Linked DNA regions of Callithrix jacchus. The protein of the gene in region 2 purifies or fractionates together with the protein of the main gene of each other region. This does not show direct contact. Links are inferred from orthologs where the notes say so. Each region holds a gene or a part of one and is shown on either strand. Other genes may lie near its edges.

Evidence for each region.
Region 1: the proteins of SEC16A (region 2) and SEC23B purify together in Homo sapiens (affinity purification with mass spectrometry; 3 studies listed by BioGRID and IntAct, with this or other methods). This does not show direct contact. The link is inferred for Callithrix jacchus from reciprocal best matches to the Homo sapiens genes SEC16A and SEC23B.

The regions. Positions count from the first base shown.
Region 1 is NC_133506.1:25,510,144-25,520,346, reverse strand, and holds the start of SEC23B (protein transport protein Sec23B), read right to left. Parts: upstream 9,559-10,203; 5' UTR 9,466-9,558; intron 7,529-9,465; 5' UTR 7,515-7,528; coding exon 7,294-7,514; intron 5,786-7,293; coding exon 5,728-5,785; intron 4,179-5,727; coding exon 4,092-4,178; intron 2,327-4,091; coding exon 2,090-2,326; intron 1,799-2,089; coding exon 1,713-1,798; intron 937-1,712; coding exon 792-936; intron 355-791; coding exon 196-354; intron 1-195. UniProt on the Homo sapiens protein: Component of the coat protein complex II (COPII) which promotes the formation of transport vesicles from the endoplasmic reticulum (ER).
Region 2 is NC_133502.1:184,948,915-184,959,217, forward strand, and holds the start of SEC16A (protein transport protein Sec16A), read right to left. Parts: upstream 5,571-10,303; 5' UTR 5,556-5,570; coding exon 5,502-5,555; exon of another isoform or gene 5,455-5,501; intron 1-5,454. UniProt on the Homo sapiens protein: Acts as a molecular scaffold that plays a key role in the organization of the endoplasmic reticulum exit sites (ERES), also known as transitional endoplasmic reticulum (tER).

The sequences.
Region 1 (10,203 bases), on a different chromosome or scaffold from region 2:
TTGAGTAGTTTTAAGGTGACCCACTCTAATTAAGGTCTGAAAGTAGGAGCAATAATTTAACAGCAGCTAAGATCAGAAAAATTGTCTCTGAAAGTGTCTTGCTGATCATGACACATGACCTTGGCAAAGTAGCTGTCACTCCAGAGCAGCCCTGGCAATGGGCTTTCAGAATTCTAGCCCACACCGAGTACCTACCTTGGTTGCCTTTTTCATGAAACGTGCATTATCTTTCTCAATATCATGCCAAGAACGAATAGGAATCTTTAATTCATCTCCAACCACCATGCCAGGCCCTTGGGTAGGGGGACCTCCAGTAAACAGCATGATCCTGGCTCCTGTGTTTGGAAAAGTGCCCTAAACAGCAAATGGCAGCATTTTAGAAGTATACAGCCCCACCTCCAAGTATAGTTCAATTTCCAACAGAAATACTCCAAAGATGCATTCTCTCCAGCTGTTCTGAAAAGTGGTGATACTGCAAGAATAATACAGATGATAAAGCAGAAAAGCAACACTTATCTTCTTGAAGCCTGATGGTTTTGCATGCTTTTATTAATTCACTCTGAGTACTCCCCATTGCTCTAGTTGTCTTGGGTTTTCACAAAAACTTTTAGCATTTTCAAAATTTTGAGGGGCTCCCTCAAAGTGAATAACAATGATGCCAGAAATGCTTTCTGATAGGTTAACACAGACGGTTGCCTTAGATCACAAGTGATTTTCAAACAAAGCCAACAAATATATTTTCTGAGAGCAAGTCTGTATGATTTGAGAGGTCCTGGTAAATTACAAATTACCTCCAGCAAGCCAACAGCAATGGACAAAGCAACACCAGTGGATCGCAAAGGTCTCTTCCCCTGAGTTACTGGCCATGGGTCCCTCTGTAGTTCCCCAAGAAGATCAGTGAGGTTCATGTCAATCTTGTGAACAGGCTGCAGAAATCTACACGATTTTGAAGAGACACATCAACCCACATTGAATAAAGTACTCTGGTTCTGAACACTAGGTGCCACACAGTCACTGCTCTTCAAGATAATTACTCATAGTAGAAAATGACTGGTAATTTTTTTCTTCAAAGCTATCTCTCTACTAACACAAAACAATTTAAAGCAGTTTTATTGAGGAATATAAAGCCCAGTACTTAGAAACTGATACATGTTACATGGAGAAAGATTATCTTGAAAAAAAGCAATTCAGTCTAATTAAATTATAGGCAGCAAAGAAATCCTAAGAATGTGCCTAACACGAGCTCAGTCGACGTGAGGTCCATTTATGTGGACAGTCTTCATCACTCCTCACCATTCTAATCTGTGCTTCTCTTGAGCCCTGAGAGTTCAGAGGCTGTCTTCAGCTCATCAGGCAATGCATTTTATCAAGCTTTTAGCCCAGTCTAGGGCAGCCCCAGGCACTCAACGGGCCAAATGAAGTGAATACCTGGTCATAAGTATGTTTGAAACACATGAAAGAAGTCTTTTCAGGTTTTCCAGTTTTCCTTAAGCATCAAAAAGGACATCAGATGTGGAATGTCTAAGCACAGCAATTGAGCACAGTGGTCTCAAAACCTTTTTGATAAAACTCTGACTACTGATTAGGCTTAATCATTTATCTTTTCTCCTAAGAAGAAGAAAATAAAAGTTCTAATATTTTTCTTCCCTTAGTCCCATGGATGATCTGCATGTCCACCACAGTATGTGGAATACTCCATGTTGGGATCTCACCTGCTTGAAACAGAAGGGTGCTCCTGTGGTTGCGCAGGTCGTGCTTGCTGCATGGGCGTGGCTGGCTTTGTCAGGCCCAACATATCCTTTAAAAAAAGCCAAAAAGATTCACTGACAATGACACTAAAAGTGAATGACTAATTCTTAAGAAATGTCCTCAGCTGGGTGTGGTGGTACATGCCTATAGTCCCACCTGCTCAGGAGGCTGAGGTGGGCCAATGGCTTGAGCCTAGGAATTCAAGACTACAGTGAGCCACCATCGCACCACTGAACTCCAGCCTGGGCTACAAAGCGAGAGCCCAGTCTCTTTAAAAGAAAAAAGAGGAAAGAAAAAGGTCCTTGCTCCTGCTCCTGTACAAGTAAGGTAAGGTTCAAACCTGTATCTGCTTTGCAGTTAAATCCTTGGTCCCTCGGAAGACGTAACTTTTGGAGATTCCTTCACAGCTTAGTTCATGAACCTGCACCATCCTTCCAAATGTGATCAGACCCACCAGAGCATCTGGAGGAAGAAGACTCAATGACATCTGCAGGGACTCTTTGAGGGCTTGAAGGTCATCTTCTTCCAGGCATGTGTCAACCACATAGAGAAAGATCAGAGGGGACTGAGCACCTCGCTTTGGGCAAAGAAAAACAGCATAATGATCAATATGCAAATAGACTTAACGAGCACTTTTTAAAGCAAATTAGGTATGAAAATCATAAGTCTTTATCTAGTTTTAGGAAATAAGGACATCTACACAAAGCTCGAACTCATTAAATGACTCAGATGCTATTAAATCAAACTAAACACAGAAACTATCTGCATCCAACAATGTATTCAACTATTTTTTTAATACTTCCTACATGCCAGACATTGTTCCAGGTCCTGGGACACACAGTGAACAGAAAGAACAAAGACTTCTTGCTGCCTCGAGGAGCAAACTTTCTGTAATGGAGAGGTTAAGGGGGAATGCAAATGCCAGGAGGAGAGGAAGAGGGCAGAGTCAACTGTTAAACGGAGAGGTTAGGCAGCCTCATTTAGAGAGCAGCATATGAGCCGGGCTCATGCCTGTAATCCCAGCACTTTGGGAGGCTAAGGTGGGAGGACTGCTTATGCCCAGGAGTTCAAGACAAGCCTGGCAACATGGCGAGACCCCATCTCTAACAAAAGAAAAAAAGTAAAAAAAATTAAAAATTAGTTGGGCATGACGGCACATGGCTGTGTTCCCAGCTCTCAGGAGGAGGAGGCAGGAAGACCTCTTGAGCTCAGGAATTTGAGGCTGCAGTAAGCTATAGTTGTGCCACTGCATACCAGCCTGGACGACAGAGTAAGACCCCATCTTAAAAAAAAGGAAAAGAGGGCCGGGTGTGGTGGCTCACGCCTATAATCCCAGCACTTTGGGAGACCGAGGAGGGCAGATCACCAAGTCAGGAGTTCAACGCCAGCCTGGCCAACATGGTGAATCCCTGTTTCTACTAAAAATACAGAAATTAGCCAGGCATGTTGAGGTACACCTGTAATCCCAGCTACTCGGGAGGCTGAGGCAAGAGAATTGCTTGACCATAGGAAGCAGAGGTTTCAGTAAGCTGAGATCATGACACTGTCCTCCAGCCTGGGTGACAGAGCAAGACTGTCTCAAAAAAAGAAAGAAAAAGAAAGTAATGTTGAGCAAAGCCTGAGGGAGGAGAGGGAAGAAACATAACAGATACAGGGGAGAGCTCCAGCCTCAGCGAAAAGCTACAGCAGAGGTCCTCAGGCAGGAGTGTTCACATATTTGAGGAGAGTCAAGGGGGCCCACTGGGTTGATCAAGGACACTAGCAAACACTGAGGATGGAGTGGTAACATGCAAGGCTTTTTGAAAACTGTCTTTTACCCTGGGTAAAGGAAAGCCATTTTCACCACTGAGGTTTTCTTTACAGAGAAGTATATGATTTATGTTTTTAAAGAGTTACTCCGGCTGCTGGGTGAAGAATAATATACAAATAGGCAATGGTACAACATCAGGGAGAACAATTAGAAGCAGTTAGTACTAGAGAGAGGGAAGCGGATGGATTCTGGTTTCCGGTGGATTAGATATAGAATGGGAAAGAGAGAAGTGAAGGATGAGTCTAAGGTTTTGAAGCTAAAATACTAGATGATAGAGTACCATCTACCAAGATTGAGAAGACTACAGTGGACAGGTTTGGAATTTAATCAGTTCTACCTTTTTAGTAGCCTTCTATAATATCAAGACTTGAGAGCAATGCCAGCAGATGCATACACATCAAACCTAACAGTGAGGATTGTGCTGCCCTCACAGCTTTAAGTCCCCTACCCAGGTAAGAGACATGGAAGACAAAAGATTTCAAGAGAAACCAATATTTAATATTGCTCATTAAATGCACAGCAAAGAAATTACCTGTATCATGTACTCAATTGTAGAAAATTGGGGCATCAATTCAGCAGGCTGGTTCACCTCAGATATGCCTCCATAAGCTGGAGGAAACTGAAAAGAAGGAAACAGTTCTATTAGGGCCGGCACATCTACATTACACTTTTTATTTCCCACATATAAAAATGATAATGATGCTGAGATGAGAGGATCACTTGAGCCCAGGAGCTCAAAACCAGCTTGGGCAACACTATGAGACCTTCTCTCCACAAGAAGTAAAAAAATTAGTTGGGTGTGGTGGCTCACACCTGTAGTCCCAGCTACTCAAAAGCTGAGGTGGGAGGATCATTTGAGCCCAGGAGGCTGAGGCTGCAATGAGCCATGATTGCACCACTGCACTCCAGCCTGGCTCTTTAGCCACAATGCTACCCTGCCTTAGAATGTTTATAATAAGTTATATTAAACAGAGACATTAATCCCGAAGGTAAAAGGGAGCAGAAATGCTTTTAAGATTTGCATACACTTCTGAATCTCTTATGAAGATACATTTTGGTGACATCTGCTTACACTTTCTGAACCTATAGTCAGTCATCAATTATACACTGTTCTCCTCATCACTAGACTTATGTGTTGTATCTGAGAATGAGAGTAATTTTAATTATGATCAAATATATAAACAAATGCATGTGAAGAGCTTAAGATCTGTTAGAACAATATACACTATGCTGGACACAATTAACTTTTTTCTAACAACTTTATTGAGGTATAGTTTACATAACACAAAATTCACTCATTTTAAGTGCACAAGTCAATGGTTTTTAGTCAATGTACAGTTGTGCAACAATCATCACAATCCATTTTAGAACATTTTCAATATAGGAACAGTTACTTTTTTTTTTTTTTAAACAGAGTTTTGCTCGTCGCCCAGGCTCCAGTGCAATGGTGTGATCTCAGCTCACTGCAACTTCCACTTCCCGGATTCAAGCGATTTTCCTACCTCAGCCTTCTGAAGTAGCTGATGCCCGCCACCACGCCCAGCTAATTTTTTTTACAAAATTTTTAGTTGAGACGGGGTTTCACCATGTTGACCAGGCTGGTCTTGAACTCCTGACATTATGTGATCCACCCGCCTCAGCCTCCCAAAGTGATGGGATTACAGGCGTGAGCCACTGCTCTTGGCCAAGCACAGTTACTTTCAGAGAGAAGTCTCTCTTGTGATTTGTTAGCGCTTTCTAGTTTGGCAGTTTTTAAAGTTTCAAATCAAAAGAAGCTAACACTGATACTTGGATCCTAAAAGTTAGAAAGATCAGAAAACGGAAATTCAGTAATATACACTATCCAGTTAGAATATACTGAAGTCAAAAGAATTATGAACAGGTGCTTTCTAAGGGCAACAGATTCACTGACTGCAGAAAACGTGTAAGAAAAGAAATTCAACACATGTCCCCAACCCCCAAGCAAATTACAAGGACTCAAAGAAGAAAACCATTCAACACAATAAGCCACAAATGTTCAAATCCAATGTCGTGCTTAATAAAAGCTATCACCTTGAGTTCAGCAGAAACTGCTGACTGCCAATGTAAAGACAAATTCAACCTCACTTAATTTTTTTCATACAACTAAAATAAAACATATAACATATTTTAAAAAATAATTCACATACCTGATTTCTTTGAAAACAGAAATTACAGGCCCAAAGTTTTGCTCGATAATCAACCTGACTGTGAGAAAGATACATATTATAAGTAGGTACCACTTTTATTTTTAAGGTAGAAAGCATTTATTTATAAATTTCAAGTTCAGTACACCACACAAATAAGTGTTTCTATGTGTGCTGAAGAGCAACGGCGCGATCTAGGCTCACTGCAACCTCCACCTCCCAGGTTCAAGTGATTTTCCTACCTTAGCCTCCCAAAGTACCTGAGATTACAGGTGTCCACCACCATACCCAGCTAATTTGAGAATTGTGGCTAAGTACACCAAAATTTTCATCAAACAGCCACAGTGAAGAACTATCTATTTTTCTCTTTTCTAATTTCCTGATTTTTTAATTTATGTAAATTATAGGTTATTTTATTTACCTTTTACCTTTCATCTTAATGCATTCTGCATGGTTTTTTTCTAACATCTTTATAGTCTAGCTATGTGAAACTACTAAATTCCAACACTAAAAGCATGTTTCACACACAGGAAAATGTTTCTAGATTTTAACCTAACTTAGCCCACTTGAAGAAAAGTTGGAGCCGAGCATGGTGGCTCACACCTCTATTTCCAACACTTTGGGAGGCCAAGGCAGGCAGATCACAAGGTCAGTAGTTCAAGACCAGCCTGATCAACATGGTGAAATCCCGTCTCTACTAAAAATACAAAAATTAGCCGGGTGTGGCGGCATGTACCTGTAATCCCAGCTACTTAGGAGGCTGAGGCAAGAATCGCTTGAACCCGGGAGACAGAGGTTGCAGTGAGCTGAGACTGCAGCACTGCACTCAAGCCTGAGCAACAGAGCGAGACTCCATCTCAAAAAAAAGAAAAGTTGGGCAAGCACATTTCACTTCCTCAAATTGGTTCAGGATAATGCTTCAGTTACTTTCCCCACACTTTCTACATTTAGAAAATGAATAACCAGTGGCTATGATTTTAAAATCAGAGCAGCAGCACTCATAGATGGGCATATTACATAAAAGCAATGGGGATGAAGTAAAAAATGTTCCTTCATATAAAAATTTTATGACACTCTCTACCTGTTTAAAAATTATTTCAAATAATGCCTACATTTAAAAGAAGTTCTTTAGGTCACTACCTCAAGCACACACAAAAAATTACACTTAACAAACTGTTGAGTTAAAATTTCTTCTGCCTATTATGTCTCCCTGCCATACAGCATCAATGATTAAGGGAAGCATGAGAAGCCAGTCTAAAGCTTTTGAATTCTTTCAGGAAATTACTTTAAGAGGTATCAATAAAGTCTATAGTTAAGTCAAAAGCAAACTGATTATCAGCAAAAAAAAGTGAATTACAAATCCCCTCCCTCTACCTCATTCCTCTAAGATTCCAATTTTATCTGGAATTACCAGGCCAGGGAAATTTCTACAAATATTCACCACCTAATACTCACCTTAAGAATCTTACCATCTACTACTCATCAGAAATCGATGACTTTCATGAGCATCACATACAAGTCATTATATATTATATTTATCAGTTTTACCAGTTTCAAAAGAATCCATACCAAAGTGGGTTGAGAACAGCTTTACAAGTTGGCCTGCTGCAAAGCACAGGTTCATATTGTACAGGAGGTAGGTCTGGACGTTCTTTCAATGGAGTAAGGAGACAAGCCAGGGGTACAACCATTCTTGTGGCCTCTAGCCGGCTGGAAGGCCACACATTCCAACTAAAGCGCACACCATCTCGTTCTTCATTCTGCTGGATGAACTCCAGGTAAGTCGCCATAGTCTAGAAGGGAACTGAAGATACAACTTTAATGACCTTAATGGTACGTGAAATTCTGAACTAAATGTCAAAAAAAAAAAGATGGGTCATGTATCACAGTTCTTCTTTCTTTTTTTTTTCCTTCAATCTCAGCTTGCTGCAGCCTCCATCTCTTGGGTTCAAGCGATTCTCCTGCCTCAGCCTTTCAAGTAAGTGGGATTTTGAGTACCCACCACCACACCCAGCTAATTTTTTGTATTTTTAGTAGAGATGGGGTTTTACCATGTTAGCCAGGCTGGTCTCAAACTCCTGACCTCAGGTGATCTACCGGCCTTGGCCTCCCAAAGTGCTGGGATTACAGGTGTGAGCCACTGCACCTGGACCATCTAACAGTGTTTCTTAAATATTCTGAAAGAACTTGTTGCTGTAGAATGACAGTATTTCCCTTCCCTCTGATACCCAAAAGTCAGTTAACTGTACAGTTATCATTGAACACTGCTCCTTTCTCAACTCTCCTCTCAAGCACTTAAAAATAAATCGAAGGATTAAGAGGTTTATAATCACCTAATCATCTCCAAACTATATGTAGTTAAATACTACTACTTCAAACCTCCTCACAGATCTCACAGTCTATCAGTCAAGCCAATTTTAACCCCGTGCCCAAGGGTAACTCTTGAACCCTGTTTCAGCATCCAACTATCTTCCTCTCTAATCTCCTTTTCTTGCTGTTAAATTTTATATTCCAAGTGATTTTTTTTCCAGTGGTGGGGGTGTGCTCATTCCCTTCTGCACTTTGTTAACTTTGGAGAAAAGAGCTGGATCCTGATCTTCCAAGTTTGGTTCACAATGGGAACCAGTTCTGAGCTAAAATATTTCTACTTAGTATTACCAAAATTACTATTACACTGAGTCTCACCAGAACCTCTTTCCTCGCCACGGTTGCTTATGTTCATGCCTTGAAAAACTGTGGTCAAGGCCAGGCGTGGTGGCTCAAATCTGTAATCCTAGCACTTTGGAAGGCCGAGGCAGGCGGATCACAAGGTCAGAAGTTCCGGACCAGCCTGGCCAACACGGCAAAACGCCGTCTCTACTAAAAATACAAAAATTAGCTGGGCGTGGTGGCGGACGCCTGCAATCCCGGCCACTTGGGAGGCTGAGGCAGGGAGAACTGATTGAACCGGGAGGCGGAGGTTGCAACTCAACTGCACTCCAGCCTGGGCGACAGACCGAGACTCCATCTCAAAAAAAAAGGTACTGGCTCAATCTAATGGTCTTCAGGTATGTACAGCCTAAGACCTGCTCCCTCCTTTTCCCACTGCCGGTTTCTCTCATCCTTCTAGGTCACGGATTCTTAGCCATGGGCACATAATCCAAAGGGGACTACAGAAGGTGCACGAATCCTCTGAAGTTGTGGGCATGAGGGAATGTGCGCCTTTTTCTAGGGAGTTGGGTCCATGGCTTGTACCAAATTATCAAAGTGGAGGGCATCTGAAGAGGTAAATAACTGAAAATATGAATTAGTGAATGAATGAAAGTCCTGGAAAAATAACAGTAGGAGAATCCACCAAAAATTCTGAACCACTCTCATCTCGCCAACTCAAAACTTCTCAGGACGCAGTGACCATCTGTATACAAAAATTAGGTTTAATCCTTGAAGGGAGTCCAAGGAACTGGGTTCTAGTTCCAGCTGTCATGAAGCAAAAGTCGTTTCATTTGTCTGAGTCTTGAGTTTCACAACTATAAAACCCAGAATTGGTCCTTTCAGCTGTGCGGACCCCGCAATTCTGGGGAACCTGGAGCCAGAAATTAATCCAGGCCTGGCGCGAGACCCTCAGCGGATTATTGGACCATCGATTATCCCCGCTACCCCAAGCTGCGGAGAAGAATCCTCATTCCAGAAGCCGCCCACCTCACCTCTGGCAGAGACTCATACCCGTGCCCTCGCCCTCCGTCCCCTATGCGCCCCACTCACCCGGCCGGAGCCGCTCACTTGGCTAGATTCGTCCTCACTCACAGCTGCAACAGCACGGTGCCGACTCCCACCGCCAAGTCCAGCTCAGCTCTCAACCGATTGGCCAGCCCCAGCGCGTCACGCCATGGCGCTGTCCACTGGCCAATCAAAGAGCGCTTCTCCGACGGACGGGCGGAAGCGAGCGATTCGGAAACGCCCAGCCACCATCTTGGAACAGGGCAAAACAACTGTGTCTCGCACTTCAAAACCACAGTTCCTCGGAACACGTTTCACCAGGCCTAAACGTTTCTGCTTCAGAAAACTCCAGCGACTGCCGCCCCGTTGCCTAACCTCAGCCAGCGATCATCAGAGGTTCGCCCTGATACAATATGACATCCGCTCCTCTCAGCGGGAAGTCCGGCTGATCGCCTTAGCTACCGGAATGTGAGAATGATGACGTATCCTCCCGGAAAAGGGAGGGGCACCAGCCGGAGGAAACTAAGGCTGCCGGAAGAAGGCGCCAGCGTGTGGAAGGGGCTGGGCGGAGGGGTGTGGCGGGTGGTGAGCGTGGAGGCGCGTAGGCGCTTGCTGGGCTGTGTGTCCGGTCGCTGTGGCCAGTCCCACGTAGATCTTGGTCCTGGAGCCATCAGGTACTGGGTTGTGGAAGCAGCTCGTGTGTAGAACCAGTTCTCATCGTAGGGAGCAAGCTCTTTGTGCTTGGCCAGCTTGACGGTGGCCACCCATTCCCGGACTTTCAGC
Region 2 (10,303 bases):
CAACACGGTGATACCCCATCACCGCAAAAAAAAAAAAAAAAAAAAGGCCAAGCATGGTGATGCATGCCTGTAGTTCCAACTACTTGGGAGGCTGAGGTGGGAGGATTGCTTGAGCCAGGGAGGTTGAGGCTGCAGCAGTGAGCCTTGTTCAAGCCACGACACTCTAGCCTGGGCAACAATGCGAGATAGTCTCAAAAAAGAAAAAAAAAAAAAGAAAGAAGATGAAAACATTGGTCAATGTATTTTAAGTAAAATATTTACAAATTAAAATTCCTGTGCTGACTGACCTATGAACTAGTCCTGTCAACCTACTGCACCAACACTGTTAATGCTCGCATATGCTCTCTCTGATGCCAACAGGGGACCGTTTCCAACTTACAGGCACCTGGAAACCCACTTGACGCTAACAGAAGTCTACTATCAGGAGCAGCGGCAAAGGCTTCACTGAGTTCTAGGCTCTTATTTGAAACAAAGAATGTTCACAGCTCTATTTTAGACGGACTGAAAAGAGAACAGGGAGAACATCTCCCTCCTATCTGTGGACTGGCATTCTCTTCCACTTGGTCCAACCAGCTGCAGAGCCACAGCAGACAGAGCAACCTGCAACCACAGCCAGAATCCGAACTTCCAAGCCCTCTCGAAGCTCCGCCGCCAGAACGGGGGTCCTACGTCATCTCTCCAGACATGGCCCTACCCCAGGAAGATCAGCTCCGTCCTCAACAGCTTTCGTTTGTTTGCTCTAAACACAGAGCACGGACCTCAAGCTTTTTTTTTTTTTTTTTTTTTAAGAAGGGGAAAAAAAGAAAAAGAGGGAAAAAGGAATATTACTTCATTCCTAAAATGAGTTTCAATAATGGCCGATCAATATTTTGAGTGTTTAAAGTGGTTAATGCATATTTTATGTGTTTAAAATGGAGACCTCTATTGTGTTTATTTGTTCTGGCTCTGAGTTCAAGTCCTGGATATCGTTATCAATTTGTTGTCTCGTTGAATCTAAATCTCATTATGTGTCTTATGTATCTGGGTGTTAAGATCTCTTATTGTTGCATTAATCCTTTTACCCTTGCATCCTTGTAGCTTTGAAATCTATTTTATTAAGTGTGAGAATTGCAACTCCTGTTTTTTATTTATTTATTTTTGCTCTCCATTTGGTTGGTTTTTTTCCATCCCCTTGTTTTGAGTCTTTGTATATCTTTAGATATATCGTCAGATTTTGTGGATAATGTATATTTTGTGTGTTTAAAATGGAGAGCTCTATTGAGTTTATTTGTTCTGGATCTTAGTTCCAGTCCTGGATATCGTTATCAATTTTCTGTCTCGTTGAATCTGAATCTCATTATGGGTCTTATGTATCTGGGTGTTAAGATCTCTTATTATTACATTAATCCTTTTATCCTTGTAGCTTTGAAATCTATTTTGTCAAATGTGAAAATTGCAACTCCTGCTTTTTATTTATTTATTTTTGCTCTCCATTTGGTTGGTACGTTTTTTTTTTTTTCCAACCCTTTATTTTGAGTCTATGTATATCTTTGGATATACCGTTAGATTTTGTCTGTATCTTTTGATTGGGAGATTTGGTCGATTTAAATTTAGGGTTGCTGCCGTTTGATATTAACTGGCTATTTTGTCCTTTCGTCGATAAAAATTCTTCTTTATGTTAATACTCTTTACTTTTTGGTGTATTTTTAGAAAGGGTCATACTGGTTGTTCCTTTCTGTGTATAGTGCTTCTTTTAGAAGTTCTTGTAAAGCAGGCCTGGTGGTAATAAAATCTCTGAGTACTTGCTTGTTCCTAAAAAATTTTATTTTTCCTTCAAATGTAAAGCTTAAATTGGCAGGATATGAAATTCTGGGCTGAAAGTTCTGTTGATTAAGTATATTGAATATTGGCCCCCACTCTCTTCTAGCTTGTAGGGTTTCCATTGAGAGATCTGCTGTAAGCCTAATAGGCTTACCTTTATGGGTAACTTGATCTTTCTCTCTGGCTGCCCTTAATATTTTCTCCTTCGTTTCGATCTTGGTGAATCTAACGATTATGTGCCTTGGGGTTGGTCTTCTTGAGGAATATCTTTGTGGTGTTCTCTGTATTGCCTGGGGTTGAATAGTGTCCTGCTTTGCTAAATTAGGAAAATTTTCCTGGATAATGTCCTGGAGAGTATTTTCCAGCTTGACTTCATTCTCTCCGTCACATTCAGGTACACCAATCAAGCGTATATTAGGTCTTTTCACATAGTCCCATATTGCTTGGAGACTTTGCTCATTCCTTTTTATCCTTTTTTCTCTATTCTTGTCTTGTTGTTTTGTTTCATTAAGTTGATCTTCGACCTCTGATACCCTTTCTTCTGCTTGATCCATTCGGCTGTTTAAGCTTGTACATTTTTCACTAAGTTCTCGTGTTGTATTTTTCAACTCCATAAGTTCATTTGTATTCCTCTCTATATTGTCTATTCTTTTCAACATTTCATCGAACCTTTTTTCCAAGTTCTTAGTTTCTTTACATTGGGTTAGAACGAGTTCCTTTAACTCCCAGAAGTTTCTTATCATCCACCTTTTAAAGCCTACTTCAGATAATGGAACACAGTCCTTTTCCATCAGGGCTTGTTCCGTTACTGATGAGTCCTTCTCCATCAGGGCTTGTTCGGTTGCTGATGAGTCCTTTTCCATCAGGGCTTGTTCCGTTGCTGATGGGTTCTGACCTTGAGTATACTCGGCCTTCTTAGGCTGTTTTTTTCCCTTCATTGTAGATGAACCGCCTTTCTAATTAGTTTTCTGAGTCGACGTCTGACTTATTGATTCCCAGTGTTGGGATCCGAGCAACCCACTGTGGCAGCCTAAATAGCAGCGGTAAGACTGATGGTGCTCTTCTGCCCGGGAATCTCTGGTCTGGCTTCCCTCTTGAGTCCGCAACAAGCGGCTCTGACTTCCCGGAGCTCCAAACTCCAGTCAGTAGGGGAAGCAGTCCCGTTGGCTCTGCATGAAGAGCTGCGGCACCGAGACGCCGGCAAAACCGCTGCGGCGGCCACAAGAGTCGCGCTGGCGACCCGTGGGGCTCCTCCACTGGGAATCAGCTGATCAGTGAGTGACGAAAATTTGTCTAAAAGTGTGGCGTCGTCTCATTCTCTGGGCTTTCACTGGGAGCTACAATCCTGAGCTGTTAGTGGTCGGCCATCTTGGATCGATCCTCGGACCTCAAGCTTTATTCCTCGGCTGCTGCTATGACAGCAGAACTGGGCATTCGAGTGAGTGGCTCGAAGCAGCCATGACTCTTTCGGCAATGTGTTTTTATTACCAAATGAGAGAATCAATGTGATTATTTTTTTCCTAAAACCATGGGTTTAACCTTATGAGATTCTACTCATGGTAGATTCGGGATGTCCTAATCCCACCTGCTGTTTAACAGGGGAATCTTATCAGAATCTAAATTTCACTGGTTTATACTTAAATGTTTTCCTTGTAGACATTTTCTTAAAATTATTCTGCAGCTCTCCTCCTAGACTAAGAACTTTCTTTTTTTCTGAGATGGAGTCTTGCTCTGTTGCCAGGCTGGAGTGCAGTGGCATGATCTCGGCTCACTGCAACCTCTGCCTCCTGGGTTCAAGCGATTCTCCTGCCTCAGCCTCCTGGGTAGCTGGGGCTACAGGCGTGTGCCACCATGCTCGGCTAGTTTTTTGAATAGTAGTAGAGACAGGGTTTCACCCAGAATGGTCTCCATCTCCTGACCTTGTGATCCACTTGCCTCACCCTCCCGACATGCTGGGATTACAGGTGTGAGACAGTGCGCCCAGCCCAACTAAGAACCTTTTAAATAGCAAACACTATCACTTACCTACAAAGGAGCATTCTAACCCTCATGCTCCCTAAATGAGAGCTTTTTAGCAACTCGCCAATTTCATTTGGAACAGTCTTGTGACCTGAACTGATTTTTATCTTTTTCTCTACTCACCAGGAGAAAGCAATGCCACTGCCTATCACCTATGTCACCACTACAAGGGAGCTAGCTTATTTAAGTCATCTAAGTCTTTCACTGTTTCAAAGAGGCCACCTGACCTTGAAGATGCAGTATTCATAAACCTAGCTAGTCAGTTAAATTGCCTTGTAACCATATGCACACCTAAGCAAAACTCTTTTCAGTAGAGTTCTGGCTACAGAACTGAGGTAAACACGCGCACACCCTTCTTCACTGTCACTGGCCTCACATTTTAGGTAAAGAAAACAAAGGTGTTCCAGGAAGCCTCTGAGCTTACATGCTGCCCAGTCTCCCTCACGGTGGCAGCTAGTGACTCCCTGTCAGACAATGGGATGCTTAACACAAAGACATGATAAACTCCAACTCTTCTAAGTTAGAATCGCAACCACATAAAGTTGGGTGTTGAAGACGAAGCCAGCGGCAGAGGCAGCCAGCAGCCTAGTACTGCTGAAAATGACCAAGACCCAAAAGGACACCCCGGTATTCATCAAGGATATTTACAGAAGAGGAAATCATATTGACATTTACCCACTACCATGGCCTCTCAGGTTTGGCAGAAAAAAGAAAGAAAGAAAGAAAATGTACCCACTGCCTCAAAGAAAACTTTCAGTACAATTCTGAGACTCACTGTAGTAACCACTATTAACAGTAAACGAGGAACAGGGAACAAGAAAGAAACGTTACTTTGCCTCTTTTCTGCCAGATACCAGCACCGGAACCCTAAGAAAGGAGACGGGGAAAAATGCAGGGAGGCTGCCTTGTGCTGAAACTTGCAAAAGTATCACTCGGGAAGAACTGTCTGCGGTTCTGTTTGCTTCGTACTGCCACATGGGGGATGGGAAATACCTCTTTGGTTAACATCGGCATCATACACGTAAAACGCAATCTTAATATACAATCCACACCCAACCTACAAGCCACTTAAAAGTGTTCTTAAGTGAAGCAGCAAAAACTGACTTTAAATCGCTCCGATGTTTCTGAAGCCTCTACTGTAACACTTCCATGACAAAGGGGCGAGACGGATCACACACACTCCTCTAACCCTCGGCCTCTGTTGCAACACCCGGATCGCCCTATCAAGAAATTACAAATAAACAACTCTGCTCCTTGGTTCAAATGTAAATCTCTCTTCACCAGCACCGCTAAGGAAACCTTCCAGCCGGTGAGGACAAGACACGTTCATTTGAAAAGCTGGGGTTTTACGAGGGGTGCCTGGGGTAAGCCTCCCGCCGGGGGTACAGGCGTCACCGCGGCCCAGCCGGGTCCACGTGAGTCCCTTCAGTCCCACGGCGCGCCTTGCCGCGCCCGGCCTCCCGCTCCAGCCTGCGGACCCCGGCGTCAGTCTCCTCGCCCGGCTCCGACGGGACCCGAGCTGCGCCGCCCGCTAGGGGCTGGGCCTCGCCGCCTCCCCTCCGCCGCGCCCCGGCCTCCACTGCCTGGCTCCTCTGGCCGGCCTCCGCCTTCCTCGTCCCGCGCTCGCCCCCTCACCCGCGCGGCAGAGATCGGCTGCTCAGGAGCCGCGCGTGAAAGCCCACCCGGCGCTGATGACGAGCGCAGACACGGAAACTGCCGCAGCCATCTTGGCACATCCGGCTCCGGTCTCCGCGGCCGCCGCGCCGCCGACGTGTCCGTCTTGCGACATCAGCGCGCGCCCCGCCCCTGTCCCCGCCCCTCGGCTCGGCGGCCCAGTTGCATTCTCATTCATCCCTTTACGGCCCAGGCCTCGTCCCCGGCCCTCGCCGGCGTCCGTCCCCTTCAGCCTCATCTCTGTCCCGCCGCCCTTATCCCCGCCCTCGCCGGCGTCCCTTCTTCCCCGCCTCATTCTTTCGTCCCGTCCCCCGCCCGTCTTTCCGCGCCGTCTCCTGTAGTTCCCTCCCCTTTGGCCCCGCCCCTCGGCCGTCCCTCCCGGCCCGTGGCCCCGCCCCCCGCCGGCGTCCATCCACCGCCTCACCGCTTGGCCCCGCCCCTCGCCACCTGCCCAGCCGGACGCGCCGGGGCCGCCCCGGGACGTCGCCTTGGTTACGCTGGCTCTTTCTCCCAGTCTTTTTTCGTTTTAAGATGTGAGAAGTGATGGGATTCTTCACTCAAGGCCACAAGGGGGAAATCAGTCTGCAGGACCGATGCTAGCAGGCTCACGCAGCGAGAACGGCTACTCTGCCTCACTGAGAAGCGCAGGGCCCTCACGCGGGCGCGCTCCTCTCATTCTTCCGTTGGGCCGGGAGGCTGGAGGGCAGGAGGCGGCGGCGGCGCCGGCGCATGCGCCGAGGGCGGTAGGAGCTGCGGGCCGCCGAGGGCCTACTGCGCCTGCGCGCTGGTTGCCTGGCTACGGCGCGATCGCGGGCCCTGAGCGGCGCCGGAAGTTGGTCGACGGCGACCGGCAGTGCCAGTCCAGGGTCCTGGGGTTTCCCCGACGCATCCTCTGCAGGCCGTTCGCTCCGCAGAGGCCCCAGCAGGGGAGGGCGGCCCGGCCACCGCGCGGAGCCGGGTCTTCGCCGACCCCCCAGAAGGACGCGCGGGCTCCACGTCCCCGAGCTCGGCCACGAGCCTGTGCCGCGCCGGGTCCTCCCACGCCCACCCCGGCCCCGGCCCCGGCCCCGCAGTCCTGCCGGGGAGGCGCGGTTTTCTGGCTTCGTCTCCTCGGCCTCCAGCCCCACGGGGCCCTAGGGTCCCAGCCCTGGCCTAGTGCACGTTGGTGGTGAGTGGGCGCTCGGGCGCCCACAGCGACCCAGCGGCGGGCGAGGCGTATGGGTGCTCCTGCCCCTGCGACGGCCAGGCCAGGCAGCATCCGTGCCCCCGCCCCCCGCGGAAGATCGCAGGGAACTGGTGGGCGCTGTCATCTGTGCCCTCATTTTCCGGAGGAACCCAGGGAGGCCGGGCGGGTGAGGAAGCGGCCATCCGTGTACCGCCCACTCACCTGCACCCGTACCTTGCAAGGACAGGGAAGAGCCGTGGCATTCCTCTGCAGCTCCTTCCAGAGGGCAGGTGTCGGTGGTGGGAGTGCCCGCCCGAGTGCATCGCCGAAGCTGAGCTCCCAGCAGCGGCTGAGGTCCTCCCTTTGGGAGCCACCCTGGTCCCCAGCGGGGCGGGAGGCTGGTACCTGTGCCACGCTAGCAGAGCCCCAGGCGGTGCCGGGAGAGGATCGCCCCAGCTGACGTGGCACCAGGGCCACTCTGCTCAGCTAACATTTGCCTTTCAGGAGTCAGATTCCTGACCTGTTTGAACACAGAGTTAGGGAACACGTGGTAGGGCGCAGCCCCAGCCCTGCTGGGAGAGGTGACAGTGACACCAGCCTCACTGCCCCCATCTTTCCGGTGGTCCAGGCGCTCTGCAGCCTCCCCTTAGGGAGGTGTCATTATTAGCCCTTCCCAAAGAGGGGAACGCAGAGGTGGGTGCAAGTTGAGTTCAAAGAACCCAAGAGCCAGGAGCCCAGGACTCTACCCTCTAGGTTCCTCCAGAACCCTGTGGTCCCACCCAGGTGGGCTCTAACCTGCAGAAGCCATAGCTGCAGAAGCCAACGCTGCCCTAAGCATAAAATGGGAGGTCTCTGGACCCCAGGGCAGGAGCCCCAGGGCAGGGATGTTAGAAAGCAGCTTATGGTGGCTCCTAGGGGTGTGGAGCACCATATCGCCTGCAAGGGGTTGGCCGTCTTTCTTCCCCTCCTCTCCCTAATACTAGGAGTGCATGGACACAGCTCTCAGCAGTCTGTGGCCTGGTGTTGGAATAGGCTCCTGCACCCTACACCTGAGCCCATCCAACCTCTGGGCTATAGACTGTTCCGCTGAAGGCCCGGCCTGCCCCTGAGACACTGTGTGCCTAGTCTCTGAGCATCATGTCCTGGCCGCTTAAAGAGAGCAACATAAGCACCTAAACACTTCAGGGCTGAGATGGGTCCTGCTGATGGGTGTGCCAGGACATCAGGCCTGGTGGGGGTGGATGTCGACATCAGGTGAATGGCTGCGGGCTGCAGGGGCCTCCTGCCAGTGCTGGGAGGTGTCCTGTCCGCGGTGGCCATCGCCATTCCTGGCGGAGCTTTATTGCCTTTGGCTGCAGCATCCACTGGTTTCTCCATTCTCCCAGTCTCTGCCCCTGCTCACACTTGGAGGCTGGACACAAAAGTCACCACCTCCCTGAAGCCCCCCTAGGTGGGCCAGATGATTCTGGTGCAAAACTCTGTGGCCACTGCTGTACCGCATTACACAGAGCACACAGGACAGGCTCGTGTGTGTCCAGGCTGTGCCGGGAAATCCTCTACCCCTGTGTCTTCACAGTGTGTCCTTGGTGCCTCTGTCCGGTCAGCTCCTCCCGTTAGCCATGCTGTCCAGTCCAGCGGCTGCTGTTGCGTGCTGTGAGCCTGAGCTGCGCTCTAAGTGTAAACTACGTGCTGGCTTGTGAAGGGTACAAATATCTAAGGGATCATTTTTTATTGCACATTGAAATGACTATTTTGGATGTATTAAATAAAATGCTGTTAAAATCTATTTCACCTGTCTCTTGTTTTCCACATAGCTGCTAGGAAATGTGAAGCTGGGTATATGGTGGCGGTTGTATTTCTGCTGGACCACGCTGGTCTCCAGGCGGGCACTCAGCCTCCCTAGCCTGTGCGTAGAGCCTCCTACTACAGGGCCCTGAGGTGCTGGAGGCTGCCGAGTGGACCTGGTGCTTTGCTGACAAGCAGCAGTCCTCCAGGGAGCCCCTGGGGGAGCAGTGGTCTCAGCGAACGCAGGACAGCCCCTCCCCGTGAGTCTCTGACCCTCTTTCCTACCTGGCATACAATAGCAGTGGCTATTGTCTGGGGTCTCGTGGAAGTATAAGGGGCAGGCGTCCCCCCGCCGGACACTGCTCAGCCCCTGACACAGACCCTTAGTCCTGAACACTGAAGCTGGAGGCTTGGCCTGGGGAGAGGAAGGGGCAGTCTCTGTGAGGCAGGGTTGGCCTAGTGGTCCGGGAAAAAAACATGTGAAGGCCTCTGAGGTGGAAAGAACTAACCAAGTGCTTCCTGGAGGAGGAGGAAGCAGGGCTGGTAGGACGGAGTCATCTGGAGGCAGGGTCCACAGCGTTCGTTCTGTGGCATTTGCTTATCAGGCTCCTACAATAAGGGGTCTCTGTTAACATACCACCAGGTTGGCCAGAGGGTGGGCCAGGCTTCCTCTCCTTACCCTCATGGAGGAGAGGAAGTGACCCTGTGAGGGTAAGGCCAGACCCCAGGGCCATGGTGGGCAGCATGGAGGGAGCCTCAAGCCCACTGGCTTCCATGGGCAAGGCCTGCCAAGCACACAGCATAGGATCTGCAAACATGCCCACCATGATGCCACCCCTTCCCATGTTCTCACATCTGACCCTCATGTTTGCTCACCGGGGGTGTGGAGCAAGACAGCCCTGTCCACTGTCCAGGCCTTCCCCAGATCCTCCCTTCCCCAGGTCCACCGTCCGGTCCTCCCTTCCCAGGGTGCGCCATCTGGGCCCTCCTTCCCTCGGGCCCACCATCCGGGCCTTCCTTCCCGGGGTCCGCCATCTGGGCCTTCCCAGGGCTAACATGGGGCTGAAGGTGCATCCCTGCTCTGGCAGATGTGCTCCTGCTCTGGGCTGCTGGTGGATGGGTCCCACAGTGCCTCCTCCCAGCACAGGCAAAGGCATCTCCCTTTGGGTGTCCACCTGGCTAGCGGAGCACAGGTAAGATGGTTGCAGCAATGGAACCAATGCTGTGTGTCCAGCTGTACTGCAAGCTTTCAGAAGCCAGAACCCTCGGCTACCCCCAGGTGTACAGCCTTGGGCAAGGTACCTGGCCTCTCCAAGCCTCTGCTTCCTCCCCTGTAAAAGGTGATAGCCTTCCCTGTCCCCAGCCTCCTGCAAGGGCTTCTTGGACCTGATCTCAGGATAGCAAGCATGCCCTCCACACCAGGCCTCCCCCCTGGCATGGGACACGTCGGCAGCACTGCCAGCAGCCTCGTTACTACAGGAGTGTCATGCGCCTCACCTCCAGAGTCTTCAAGCATGTTGGGTACACAGCAGGTCTCAGAGAACATTTCTCTGGAATCCTGGAGCCAAGTACTTAACATACAAGGTGGTAAAAGCCCTAGGGAAAGCAGAAAGCTCAAGGCTGATGTCAGTATCACAGCAACCCGGGACTGCAGGTCTCCAGAGCTACAGGAGGAACTGACGAGTGTCCTTGAGCTGCAGAGGGGGCCCTGGTAAACCCACGAATCCTCTGACCCCAAACCATGACCAGATGTCTGCTGAGCCCCTGCTGCACCTGGGAGTTGGGCTGTGGCCGTGAGACAGGCAGTCCCAGCCGCTACCCAGGGGAGCGTGGAAGCTGGCCAGCCACAGATGTGCCCAT